Linked DNA regions of Styela clava. The protein of the gene in region 2 purifies or fractionates together with the protein of the main gene of each other region. This does not show direct contact. Links are inferred from orthologs where the notes say so. Each region holds a gene or a part of one and is shown on either strand. Other genes may lie near its edges.

The links.
Region 1: the proteins of U3 small nucleolar ribonucleoprotein IMP3-like (region 2) and U3 small nucleolar RNA-associated protein 25 homolog purify together in Homo sapiens (affinity purification with mass spectrometry; 3 studies listed by BioGRID and IntAct, with this or other methods). This does not show direct contact. The link is inferred for Styela clava from reciprocal best matches to the Homo sapiens genes IMP3 and UTP25.

Annotation. Positions count from the first base shown.
Region 1 is NC_135253.1:6,532,877-6,540,956, reverse strand, and holds U3 small nucleolar RNA-associated protein 25 homolog, read right to left. Parts: upstream 3,209-8,080; 5' UTR 3,138-3,208; coding exon 1,023-3,137; 3' UTR 581-1,022; downstream 1-580. Other genes in the region: 18S rRNA (guanine-N(7))-methyltransferase-like, read right to left, coding at 1-580. UniProt on the Homo sapiens protein: Component of the ribosomal small subunit processome for the biogenesis of ribosomes, functions in pre-ribosomal RNA (pre-rRNA) processing. Essential for embryonic development in part through the regulation of p53 pathway.
Region 2 is NC_135256.1:9,271,860-9,278,522, reverse strand, and holds U3 small nucleolar ribonucleoprotein IMP3-like, read right to left. Parts: upstream 1,959-6,663; 5' UTR 1,852-1,958; coding exon 1,306-1,851; 3' UTR 693-1,305; downstream 1-692. Other genes in the region: cation-dependent mannose-6-phosphate receptor-like, read right to left, coding at 500-666; transmembrane protein 26-like, read right to left, coding at 4,916-5,238, 5,685-5,809, 6,563-6,663. UniProt on the Homo sapiens protein: Component of the 60-80S U3 small nucleolar ribonucleoprotein (U3 snoRNP). Required for the early cleavages during pre-18S ribosomal RNA processing. Part of the small subunit (SSU) processome, first precursor of the small eukaryotic ribosomal subunit.

The DNA.
Region 1 (8,080 bases), on a different chromosome or scaffold from region 2:
GTTCCAGTTGACTGGGGTTTTCTGGGTATAATTGAAACACTGCTCTGCTACCTTGTCTCATAGCAGAATATAAAGTGGAGAAAAAATTATAAAGCCTTTTGGGAGGATTATGGGATTTTACATTTGAATAACATAACCACTGAATCGCTGATATACTGATTACACCATCAAATGTTCCAGGTTTAAAAAACAAGCCTTCACCAGCATCGGCATTTATTATATCACCTTCCACTTCACGTTCGACAGCAACATTGAGCATTGCTGTACTGATATCAAAACCAATCCAACAATGTCCCATTTCTGTTATAGTTTCCCCACTTAATCCAGAACCACATCCAACATCTAAAATAAAACATGAACTATCCTCTGGCAAATTGAGTAACTCCAGAGCACGTTCTGTCATCTTTGCCTGGATCTCCATCATTCTTGAGTTTGTAGTATATTTTTGTGCCTCATTTTCATTGTAAAATATCTCGGGAGGAGCCTGAAGTTCAGGCCTTTTGTGAGATGACATTTTTATATTTACATTAAATATATGAAATCTAAATAAAACAGAAAATATGAAATTACTGAATCCCATGAATGAATTAGGTCCATCCAAGTTTAACTTTAAGTATTGACACTTCTATACACATTTTATGACATATATTCTCATAGATGATATGGCCTATTAAGTTGATGAATATTTGCTTAAGACAAGTGGCTTTAGCCTTTATTCACAAAAATCAACGGTCATAAGGTTTTATTTAATTATTACACCAGCCAACACATTGATATACTCCCCAGACAGGAATAAAATGTATATGCTCAATGTGACTTGAGAATTAAGTAGCGGGTGATGTTGGATAGCTTGGATGAAACCGTGTTCCAACTAGGGACATGAGTAAGAGGCTTCATTGAAGGTGTGGAAGGCACCAAATAACACAAAATTTCATAACTTTGGGAGAAAGAGAGTCAAAAAACACATTGAATATAGCCCATTATTGGAAAATCAACAAATTGCCAACATAATTAATTATATATTAATCGTCATTTGTCCCAGCAACAAACATATGAACAGTTCTTGTTGAAGTTTGCAATTGACGACAACGGGACATTCCAACTGTGGAAGCAAGTTTTTGGGTATCGAATTTTGTATACATAACATTTACTGAACTAGATGAAGTAACTCCATCTCCTTGGTGTGAATCTCTCACCATGTTACACAATTCTACATAGAACAAAGGATAAGTTGGCAATTCATAAAAAATAAGATGCCGCATTCCCCGAATTCTTGCCCTGTTATAAAAATGAAATCTTTCAGTATAAAGCATTAATGGGCATTTTCCCGTATAAAACCGACGTTTGGTCTTGTTAGCAGCGGATGGTGTGCTGTAGTCATTTATATGACCAAATATGGGTCCAGACCCCTCTTTTTTTTGTTTTCTCATAAAATTACGAAGACGGACAAAATCAAAATATTGTGGTACATAAATCAGGGTATGTGACATGCTTGGGTCCTTGTACTGCTTATATAATTTATCAACAAAGAAACGAAAGCGTGCTTCTGAAGACTCGACCAAACTTGGTGCGGAAAGCTTGTGGAATACTTGTGGAAGTTGCTTAGCAATAGCACATATATTACCCTTTTCTGGAATATTCTCTGTTTTAACAAAGCCCTTATAGTTGCAACACCATTTAGTAAAGATAGATGATATCTGTGGCAAGTGTACATTCGATATTACTACAGTTTGTCTGTAAAATTTGTTTCTACCATCCAACGAAAAATTTCTAACTCTTGAAAAGTCTACACCATGTGAATCTTTTGGTGTAATATTCAAATGCTCAAATATATGTAAAACATGTTCCCAATTCTGCATTAAGAACACATCAGTTTGGTCCATAATAACAAGTTCAATAGATGACAAGAAATCATGTTCATGGTGTTTTTCTCCTTCAGAACCAATTACTGTTCTGAGTCCAAGTGGTGATGCCACAATAATATCAGAGGAATAGAATGGTGAGTAAAGGCGAACTGAGTTTCGTAACAGTGCTATTCCAATTCGAAAATGTTCATCTGTATTTCCAGCAAATAAGCATTGATAATCTTCCGGCTTTTTTGAAAAACCTCCATCGATATCATCTTCACTCTGGCTAAATTCATCGCGAAATCTTTTCTTATAACTGACTTCAAATTTATCGCCTTGCTTGAATAATTCCAACATGATATTAATCACTCTCAATGCAGTTTCCTTGAAAGGAACTAAGATTAAAACTTTTGGTCTTGTGATACCTTGGTCTCGATATTCAGATTGTTCACGTTGTTCCGGAGTCATTTTCCTTAATCTGGATGTGTTGAGTAATACTTTGGCACGAGATCTAATGACATGATTTACAGCATGAAAACAATATACACCTTGAATAGATGATGACGTATTAAGAAGATTTGTATCTGTATAAGACACATCAACATATGAACTCAATAGCGTGAATAGCTCTTTTTGCTGCAAGTTAAACAAATCATTGTGTTTATCTTTTTTCGACTTTGTTTTATTTCTTTTATCAAATTGCATCCAATTATCAATTACAATTTTTCTGATATGATATGTTTGTCTATAAGTTTCAATGTTTGTGTTTTTCTTGATTGGAACTTTGGGAAGAAATTCATTTGTTGCTGGATCTTCAGATCGATTCATAAACTGAATCTTCCCTAGCATGGGCCATTCCAAAGTATCTCTCCTTTGAGGTTTGTTCTTTTCTATATGTTGTACAAAATAATCAATATTTGTCTCAAGATGTTGTTTGTAATAATCACAACTGAGATTCTTAGATTTATCAAAATTGTCTTCATCATCAGACTCACCAAATATCAATATTTCAGCAGAGTCGTTATTGTCATCTTCATTTTCAGAATCACTGTTTTCCATAAGAACATCAGTTACATCTTCGTTGTCCTCAGATTCATTAGAACTGTCATCCTGTGGCTGGCTTGATGATTTCTTTTCAAGGATTCCTTCTTCTAACTTCTGCCTTTTAGGGATAACATTGTCATCTTCAGAATCAGTTTCTATTTCTTCTTGGTGATTATTCGTTTTAACCAAAGAAATCAAATCCACATATGGATGTGAAGATTCATCCTCTGATGAAGATTCTGACATTTTAGGCTTAAAACATTTAATATCTACATGCCATGGAAAAATCACTCATTAAATTTGGTGTTAATGGTAGGATTACATAATAACAGTCCGTGATTCAGCATACTAATATAACAACAAAATCCACATGTTACGTAGGTAACACTACATAGGTTAGGGTACAGGGGTATATAGACTATATATAGAGCAGAGTCGGCCAACCTTTTTGGCCCACGGGCCATATTTAGTTTACTAATAATTGCGCGGGCCACTTAACATAGTAATTATATTCTAGTTTTGCTACACTGACCAAAAATTTATAAAAAAACAAACAAAACCCTCGCACCAAACTTTCTCAATAATAAGAACAATGAAGAAAACGAAGATACAGTAAAGTCAACAAAGTTTTTTCTACACGTAGACATTTTAGTGTGAAGTTTGGCACTGTTTTTCACTGAAAAGGACGATGTAGCAATGCGAAGCCAATTTTCCATATGACTGTCAGAAATTAGTGATCTCAGAGGGAATTTGACATGGTTTATCTGTGAAAAAACTTGCTTGTACGAGTACGTGCTGCCAAATATGAGGTCATTAAAACTGCCATTCTGCCCAAGTGTGTAAGCTACTATTTATGTATCGATTTCTTCCAGTTGGGGATGGGCTAGCAGAGCGCATTTCAGGAAAATAAACAAATTGTTTGTATCAAATCTTCATATTAACTACATCACTCGAAAAATAGAAGTTTTACTCAATTTTTTTTTATTTCGAAAATACAGCGCGGGCCACTCAAAACTCCTCGACGGGCCACATGTGGCCCGCAGGCCACGGGTTGGACGACCCTGATATAGAGAGAAAGAATCAACCAGAAAACACATAATAATAACAAAATACGGATACGACCATTTACGGTCATCTGAGTCAGTTACCACTCATGGCTGCATGGCAGCAAAAGATAAAAATAAATGAATGGGTCTCGACAAAAGATAACCATATGGCTTTCGCAGTTCAGTCCGTAGTTTGTTGTTAAACGTGCTCCATTCAAACTATGGGTACCTGTACTCACGCATTTCTGCATTTGGGAATCGTCGCAGTACCGGTATTTCTGTATTTGGGCACTGATCAGAATACCGGTGTTATGGCACTAACTTTGAACTTGTTCATTTATGACCAAACCATACCGGTGCATGCAGCCCACTCACACAACCAGCAAATCTACGAATCTACAGCATCTGCTACGGTACGCTATGCGCTATATCACTGCGTTGCACATGCTGGAAAAACAAACACAGAAGGCGCGCGTGGACATCTGGCAAACTTCACAATTTCACATACGGTACATAGAAAAAAGTGGAGTTTACTAGATCAGGAGTTCTCAAACTCTTGGTGTTGCGGAGCACTTGAAAGGTTGAATATTATTCGCGGAGCCCCAAAATAAATGTTAAAATTGTTACTTTTAGATTAATATTCCTGAGCAAGGTAAAAGTACTTTACTTCACTAGTCATAAATAAATTTAAATTTTATACTAAAGCTGTAAATTTGACACTTGACAAACATATTAATAAATTAGGGGTCGAATCTTTTCCCTTTTGACATTTTTGGAAGACTTAAAAGGCCGCTAATAATGTGCGCAATTTCATTTTGTTACAATCGCCGATTTTTTCGTCAGTTTCAAACGTCTTTACGCCGGTGTTTATTCTCCCTAAATCAAAAATTTTCCTCGGCATATACATGTATTGTTACACAATGACGACGTTAATTGCTTTTTTGTTCTCGTGGGGAGTTCAATGTGAAAACATGTTACCATATTGTAGTCATCGGCGACGGAATGCTAAAAATAATAAAGAGATAAATCCGCAACTCAAATTTCTTGATAGAAAAACGGCATTCTAAAATAATAAAACTGAAACTTTAAATGGAAGATCACACGTTTGGTTTCAGCAGACTCACCTCAGATTGAAAACGCTTTTATAGACATTGTAAATCTCAAAATTTGGTGTTATGTTAGGTTTTCATCGTAGTACCTGCGGAATCGAAACACAGTCAATTGTGCGCTCGATGTACCTTTTTTCCCATTCTGAAACTACCGACGGAGCCGAATGCAATAAAATAAATTTCAATTGTTCGTATTTTGCCCAGACATTGTGATTTTTTAAACGGCGATATCTTGCTTAAAAATAATCTCAAGTGCAAAAGAACAAATCAAGTTTGACAAATCCCAAGATCGCAAAAATACGACTCCAATTTATATATAGTTGGCAGTTTATCACATATTTTATGTTATTTTAGAATAGTATTTTTTCCTTTTAGCAATCCTAATGGTAATCTCGAATCAAACGTGAGTAATGATGAGCACAATTACATTATATAACGACGAGACACGTTAAATGCTCGAATCGGTCATGAATTGAATATTTTACGCAACAGAAATCTTGTTATCCGTTTTTTTAATCGCGAAGAATGTTGCGCGGAAATTTCCGATTCCAATTTTGAACCACCTCCCTCTTAAGAATCCTGGCTGCGCTCCTGCTTATAAATAATGTCATTTTTTAATTCCGCCTCTTTACCATATTTCGAAGCTATATCGTTGTCAGATTTTATCAAAGCTGTTATTGCTTCTTTGAACAGTTACAAAATTTTGAGTCAGTATTTTGAGGAGTAATCGAATAGCTCGCGGAGCCTTTGGGTTTTTCTCGCGGAGCCTTTGGGTTTTTCTCGCGGAGCCCTGGGGCTTCGTACGGAGCACTTTAAGAACCTATGTACTAGATCAGGGGGCACCAAACTTTTTTGACCGCGGGTCGGGTATGACTCAAACTGTGTTGAAACGGGCCGGACAAATATTTTTGTCAATGCAATACAATAAATTCACAAAAATTGGGAAATCTATTCAACAATATATATTCTACATTTCTGAAGACTTGAATATTAAATTCTATATATATCGCAGAATATAGATCGAGAACATCCTAGGAAAACAAATATACAAGATTTCTATATATAGACGACAACCCTGAGTTTAGCTGTTATCAAAACGTTGCACGACTACGGACTGCCTGCTGTAGCATGGAATTCCATGAAATTTCGACATAATTTAGATAAAATAAACAACTATTATCTGGTATTTGATTTTTATTCATTAGAGCATAAATTTCCCAACATTCGGAGCTTTTAAAATTACGCTCAAGTTATACGTGGTGCAAATTAATGATATTGTCTATGGACACCAATAAAAATTATGTGGACGTGTGTATTTCTTTCCTGACTTGATACATGATACTTACCAATTTTTATGGAGTTTGTACAACCAGAACATCGTTAAATTTTACCCATAATGAACCACCGTCAAACATCATGCACAACTCCAGCGTTTATTTGCGACGAACTTTCGGCGGTGTCAAGACCGTTGCCAGAATAAAATCATGAAATAGTCTCAATATTCCATAGATGTGGCGCAGATTGAAAGGTTAGTGATTGATATGTGTTTTTTTCATATTTATTACAGTTCTTATTAAAAAAGCTTTTTATAAACTGGATATTGTTTTCTTATTTTCACTCAGATCTATCCACTGGCGCAGTTTTCATTCAAATCGGATGAACTTTATTTTTTTTTTGTAACTTACCTACATGAATATCCGCATTTAAGCAGTACAAAAATTAGTGTGCCTTGTGAAATTGGAGCAATACGCGAGGGATTACAGTACTGTTAGCGCAAAATGCACATTCGACGTTCATTTTAGCACGAAGACGTAAACAGTTTCGGCGAGTGCATCTTTCGCAGAAAACGTTGCCTCCCGGTAGAAAATTTTAGCCTATTTTGTCACAGCTATTTCTTAGACTAATTTTTCATTACTACTATTAAAACTACAACTCCTAAAGAGGCAAATGATGATTGACTTATTTGATTGATACTTAAATTTCCCAAACACAACCAAAAACTAACGAATAGCATTCAGAATCGCAAAAACGAAGTATTTTTTACAACCACGACTGAAAATCTGTCAGGGTGACGAAAGTGTCTGAGCGAGAGAGATTTATTGATTCGTCAACCACAACAAATATAAATATGAAAGCATAAATACAAATAAATAAACACTGTTTATGGTAAAGACTGGAGGGAGCGATACGACCATACGGTCATCCAAGTCAGCTCCCCCCAAATTCACTGTTATGCATAAGATTCCCAGGTAATGGATGACTATGAGTGTAACGGCTAATTATAGAGTAATATACACTTAAATAATTGTAAAAAGCACAATTACAAGGGGCTATTGATTTAAGTTAGTTATCACGCTCATATGATCATTGATCCATGCATATTAATTACTAGGGGTCTGGAGAATTACTAATATGGTGAACAAATTGTGGTAGTTATACCCAATGAGCGTATTTGGATAATTATTATGGTAAATGAAAAGGAATATAAGTGAAAAAAATAAAAAATTAAAATATTGGATTTACGAAGATAGGATTAACTTTGGTTTATGAAAAACAATTGAAACACAATATGAATATGGAGGTCAATTTCAATGACTACTGAAAGGGATCTTTCAAAGTACAAGAAGGGGGTTTGTAATCAAATATCTAAATAACTAATATCATTAATTAACAAAGGATGAAAAATAGAACTCTGAAACCAAATCGGGGTCTGTAGAGAGCGGATGCCAAAAGGCCCACTATTACGTCATTTTTTTTTGCATCTTGCTGATAGGCCAATGTTACGAAATAAACAAGGAGGACGATGCTCGAGAAAATTTTTCTTGGAAAAATATTTGTTCACTTTTGTGTGTTATTGGGGGGCCGAATAAAATGACGACGTAGTTTGGTGACCCCTGTACTAGATGACTCTCTGAGTCTTTTCACGACCCCGCGTTAACTGCAACTAAACAAGCCGGTATCTGTTTGTCATTTTGTTACATTATATTTTTCATATCGCGCAGTGTTTTTGCATGACGAAAATAAATATTCGAAT
Region 2 (6,663 bases):
TGTCACGAAAGAATATGATTTTAAGCGACTTCACAAAACGAAACACGGGATAGATACCAAAACTACCCTGATATTTCTCAGAAAAATCTTGGAGCGATGCTGTTCTCCATAAAAATGTTTCGCATCCATAAGTTTTAAGCCATTTCAAGGTGCCCTATCCTGTCCATTCGGTGCAAAGGCATGAATATATACAAATATTCCGTGATATTTCTTGCTTTCATTCTATTGTGCTTTTCCGAAAAGGCGGATAAAAACGATTTGATTGATTGAAGCAATTTTAAAATAACTAAAGGTTTCATATTGTTTCCATGAAAAACTGATTAGGACAATAAACTCTCATGCATATATTTAAAGTGAGTAAACTCGCAATGTTTTGATCACTTTTGGGTTTTCTCCGATTGCGGCCCTTCAACCTCGCAACCTTGGACTAAGAGGTATTTGGAAAGTCTTTATTTCATGAAATCTTTAAAGCAAAATCTTTATTTTAGGCATAACTTACATTTTGTCTTTGAGTGGATCCAAACTAGAGATGTGTCGTGAGGATATTGAATCTTTTTGGGCACTTAACGTGCATTCAGCAACAATAAGAGTATATCCAAAACTAAGCAGAAAAAGTACCTTCAACAATTTGAGGTTTGACAAAGCATCCATCTCGTAATGTTTCATATGTGAAGAATATAGTGATAAATACACTAAACAAATATTGATCAAAAGTTTAAAGTAATTTTCTAAATCAATTAACGCATATCGATTCAGACCATTATTAACACGAGTCAGTACTTGAATTTGAAGAACCCCACAATAAAAATAGCGGCTGAAGGATCTGTAATACAACAGAGTAGAGCACTTCTTTCGAGCATATTTGTAGTTAAAAATGGCGTTCAAATCCCAAAATACCTATTTTATTCTATTATTACAAAAACTCAAAATATGATTTTGCAATATTACTTTCAGCTACTATTTTAGTGTAAAACAAAAAAACTACATTTTGATAACGCATTCTACAATAATTTAATCGTTGAGTTTTTGTGTACAATGTTTTTACATATGTTTGTGGCAAACAATATTCAGTCTCCAAAAAGTAATGCTTGACAATGGCATTAATATATCTAGAAATTTTGCAAATAATTGAAACATTACATTGATAAATAAATTATTGTTATAATCAATATAAATGCTTCCAATGCTGCAAAAAAAGCTTTGTAAATGAAAAATCATCACAGAAAATCTTGCACCCCCGTTCTGTGTTAGAGTTGATGCACCAACACAAGAGAGTATTGAAGGTTCTAACACATTTCAGTCATATTATGCAAAATCATAGTCATCCCTTTCGTCATTAAATTCCATAATGTGCTTTCGTATTTTAGACGTCGATTTCCATGTTATAAAATCTTCCATAGTTCTAGTGACGAAATATGCAGGATCTGTTACAACATCTGTTCCAATTCTGATATGTCCTTGCTCAATCAATTCCGTGGCCATTTTCAAATTCTGCGACATGCGCAACTTAACGAGCATGACAGGTAAACGTCGCCTGCAAAATGTAGACGCCGTTATTTTGTCCACCAATGCCAGTGACTCTTTCGTAGGAATTAATCCCATTCTATAAAGTTTATCTAATAATTTTGCAGTACATCTTTCTCTAAAAGGATCATCGGTTTCGAGATCTCTTAGTTTGCGCGCTATCGATCGCACATGCCGACTCAATTTGTTATATGACGTGTAATCTTCTCGTTTTTGTATCCTATATTTCCTTAAAATCTTTATTTCATGAAGATTGTTATCCGCTTCCCAAGCGAAAAAATCTACTTTTTTCAACAACTTCTTTTCGTGATACTTCAACTGCCTCATGGTCGACAAATACTACGCGAAGCGATCAAATAATGACAAACAGAATCCACCGTACACTTCACCACAGAACGAAACGCTGATTCCACAATCTGGCGACGGAAATCACGAGCTCTGACATGTTCACACAGAGATATAGATATTTCCAGTTCAGTGCATGTTCATCAAATGTGAAATCATGCGGAACAGATGGTGGGCTTGTCCATTTGTCTAATCTGATATGTTAATCGTTGGTCTGGATCGGTCTGGATGTATGCGCTATATAACCAGAGCAAACGTACATAAATACTAACGCATCGTTGACCTTGGCATGGATATGAAATGACTACCGCAGATTTTGATTTATTTATCTTCATACGAATGTACAATAACGCACACGCAAAAGGAACATCTTGTCGAACGGGAGAGACAGAATAACAAGGAAAACGAGAATGTTGGTCAGAGACCGAAGACTTATCGATCGAAAGTTAGGGGATTCAAAACAGCGCTCTTACTCCATAGTGACACCTTGTGTCCCATTACTAATTAAATGATAACTCGCTAATTATACGACACAATTCGCCCAAAATCAATAGGCCTCAGGTACGAGATATGATGAATGCACATGCAAAATTTGCTGCAGATCCAATCTCGTTTTCGTGAGATATCGCCTAGCCTACATCTAACAGACAGACAAACAGACAGACAGACAGACAGACAAACAGACAAATACCTATCAACATACTTACCGATTAAAATCGATAAGTAACAAGCAAAATGTCCGCACGTTCGTGGGAGAGCTGGACTTTGAGAACTAATGACGTTGTATGCAGGATACAGATTATTTAGAATGGGTTTCACGTCAGTATATTTCCAAACCTGCCAACATCATTTGGTGTGCGGTAATGATTCACATATTTGCATCATTAGCAACGCATTTTCGGTCATTTTGTAGCTCCAGAAACAAAATCTTGAGGAAAACATGACTAAAGCTCTCAACCAGGACTTTTAGTTTGGCGTTGCAGACGGATAACTCGCTTACCGACGCAGATGGGCAAACCCTCCGCGATGGGCAAACCCCTTTACGCATAAGCAAGTTTTTACTTTTCCAGTGTCAAATAAAGAAATGCTGATCTACTAACCCGCATAAAAAGACTATAAAAATTTATGAGGCACTCGAATATATTAAACAATACTGGACTAAGAAAAACAATTCTCAGAAAGTCTAAAAGTTACCCATGGATAAATCATTGGTAGTCACAAAACTTGTGGCCAAGGGCACAGAATGTGTCGCAGTCAAGTCAGAAACAACATAGAGGCGACGTAACAATTACCGGCTTTCCTCTCCCCTGGGATAAATATGTAAATCCTATCCTAATATAAGTCTTATTTATAAGTAAATGGATATCTATTTTCATATTTTGTATATTTGAAATTTGAAAATCTCGCAATTCTGTATTTTGTAATTTTGTTTTTGATAAATTAAAAGACATCCCCCCAAAATAAGCCCTTCGAAAGAAATTTGAAATAAGACCCTGTCTTATTTTTGGGGAAACACGGTAGCCGCCCACATGGTTACAATGTGAAGTAGTAGCGACTAGCTATGCACAGTGACGAAGAAAACCAGGTTCAAGTACTTCAATTCAAGAGTTTAGCTGACACTGTGCATTGTGCTACTGGTACATGACAACGTTACGGTAGCGGTAGTCTATCAGCTTGTACAGATGTAGATTATCTTAAAATATATTTATGCATAAAAGCAGTGTAGTGTAGCAGGTACCGGAATGAAAAGGAAATAAATTCACATAAAACTGATCGGCCCCTAAGCAGGCGCACATCATATAAATAGTCATTGATCAAGAAAATGACTGACTTGTCAAGAGTGTACATACCGGTAGGTTGGATATCAATAATTGCAGATATAGCAGAAAATGGGTAATCCGGAAGTATGCGCACCAAGATGTCGCATAACCTGAACCCTAACCTGGTACACAACCTAAGTCCAGGATGTGCGCCATCTTGGTGCGCATAGCCTACTTCAGGAGGTCAAGAAAATGTAAATGAATGTAGCGAAAATATATTAGTAACAGAAGGTCATCGATTAGTTATAGTTGTTAGAGCTGAACATTGCAAAACTCAACATTTTTTAATCAATACAATATATTTTGAAAAAAAATAATGCCCAATTAAATATTTTGAAACAAAATTGTGCTTATGAATATGTATACCCGTTTACATGCTTTAACTCGCTAATTCAATCTCAAAATAAGCATCGAACTTTTTCACCACACTGGTAAACTATGTGAGAAAACATCCGGGGGGGTCGGAAAAACATCCACAAGGTTAATTTCAGAAAACATTATAATATTTTATCTGAGATTCCACGTTGCTTGCTAACACGCGATAAGGCTTAATGTATTAGGAATGATTAATTAGTACCACCCCGACAGGGAATTCCTTGACCCAATTATTATTACGCCAGCTATACGGTTGCCCACGATCGCAAGCAAATATATGAATCGATAGATTTGTCCCACAGAAAATGCACATGTTAACGACAAGAATAAAACAACACAGCGGTGGGAAAGTTTAAATTTACATAGATGGGGTAGCCTGGTAGCCTACTTTATATATATATATATATATATATATGAGTATCACTAGGGTAGCATTCATTCCTTTTTGGTCATATATACAATATTCCAACAAAAGTTATAATTATGCACCTTACCAAAACAAAGTTTTAATTAGCGTAATGGGCATTGGGAACCGAACTATATTCTTGTTGGTTTTTAACTACCAAAAAATAATGAAATAAAATTTCATTCTGATCTATAAAATTTATATCTCAATGTTAAGTTACATTACAAATCCAATAAATTTGGATGCACTTAGAAAATAAAGTAAAATATTATAGGAAACACTGATGATATTATTAAATGCGACTTTATGTTACCGTGAGTTTAAAAATGACTAACAATGGTACGGAAAACGTCCACAGTTTGATATCGTCTAATCTTAGATTTATGCACAATAAGAAGTTTGTAGGCCTACAAATAATAGTTCACTGCCTGCGCCAGGAAATATTTCACGATGGTTTTCCGTCAGTGGAGTATGTATCATTATCACAATGCAGTTCATGCTCGTTTGAAGGTAAACCTGGCAATTCAAGGGAATCTGAAGTAGCCACCATCTCATGGGTTGGTTTCCTACTGTTTAGCCGTTCCACAATATCAGCACGATTTAATTCAACAACACTGATTCCATCTCTTTCCAAGTGTGCTCTTGCTATTTCTATACCATCGTATTTAATCTCCGAATATATAATACGAAGGCGGTGGATTTGAAGAACAACAACCAAGGCATTCTTGCAAGTAAAGAATGCCATTGTGTGGCTCAAGATTCCCATAACTGTAAATTAAGACACGAATATTGGTGATGCAGATTACAAATATTAGGTCTGATAGTAATAATAGCAAGGTATTTAATGATTATGCAATCAAATAATCATTTCACTCCGTTAACTTTGTGCAAAAATAAATAGGTTGAAGTATTTGGAAAAATATTATATTACAATTAGAAAGAATAAGATCGTTTGTATTAATTTCTCGATAGAGTATGAACCACGTTCCAATGCTGGTCGGATATGGGAATACTCATTTTACTAATTTATTGTTTCAGTTTCACCACGTAACCACCCTGCTAAGGTGAGTGGTCGGTCCGTACCATCGTACGTAATCATATTTTATTTCAATTGTAAACTATAGTATATTGAATATAATCAATAAATTACTACCACGGGAAAATAAACCGAGGCAAAGTAATATTTAAGTGTTCGTAAGTAAGCAAAATTTTACCCGACAACAGAAAGAGGCGAAATATAAAAAAAGGTAGATCCTGCATTGCGGTTGATGACAGCACCCCGACAACGTCTTTGTTTGACCAGAAATCGCTAGACCAAAACCCCAATTTCCGAACGCGCCTGCAAAAGAAAAATGAAGACCACCATTGCCATTTTACCCGTTCAAGAGTTATTTGCCCAAGCAATTTCCCGTTATGAAGCCACAAATTTTCAAACTTCACAAATGTATAGCATTCATTAGTTTCGGAATTAAAGATTTAACATTTCGAGAGTTTCATCCACCTTAAAAACTAGTATTTTTTTGGTCGTTAATGGAGTGTCATAGTTATAATCTAAAGCTCATCTTGCTTAATCAATCAACGGAGTATCGTTAGAAGAAATATTGTTATTATATATGTACGTTGATACTATTTCCATGAGGTCAAATGTTGCTGGTTGTAAGAAGTTTACTCTTGGAAGAGGAGAAGGAGAAACATCACACAACGAAAGATAAATAATCAAGATGAAAAAAAGACCCACCACCCCTCCAAAGAATATACAGTACAAGAAATCTTCCATTTTTATGTAATAAAAATTTGGAAGGAATTTGAAATAATAACATCGAACATATTGAATTTGTAAGCTGAAAATCGTTTTACTGGCAGATATAAGATAATATTATTTTTGAATAACAGAAAAAGTGGTCAATAGTAACATATATATTTGGTGGGTATTACGTACTCCCATATTATATCATCTCAACGAAACCGAACCAATGACTAGACGCAACTCGGCTACAACTACCATATCTTCTGAGTCGTCCTATTTTCTCTCTACTAAACAAGCAATTGATTCCGAAAAATGTATACACGTATGGTTTTGTAATTGTCTTACCGTCTTCCACCACGGGGTTCTGCACAGGTCCGAGATCTGCTGCTTTCTCCCCTTCTGATACTGATCCCAGCCATTCTATTTCTTCGGGATCGACTTGAGGT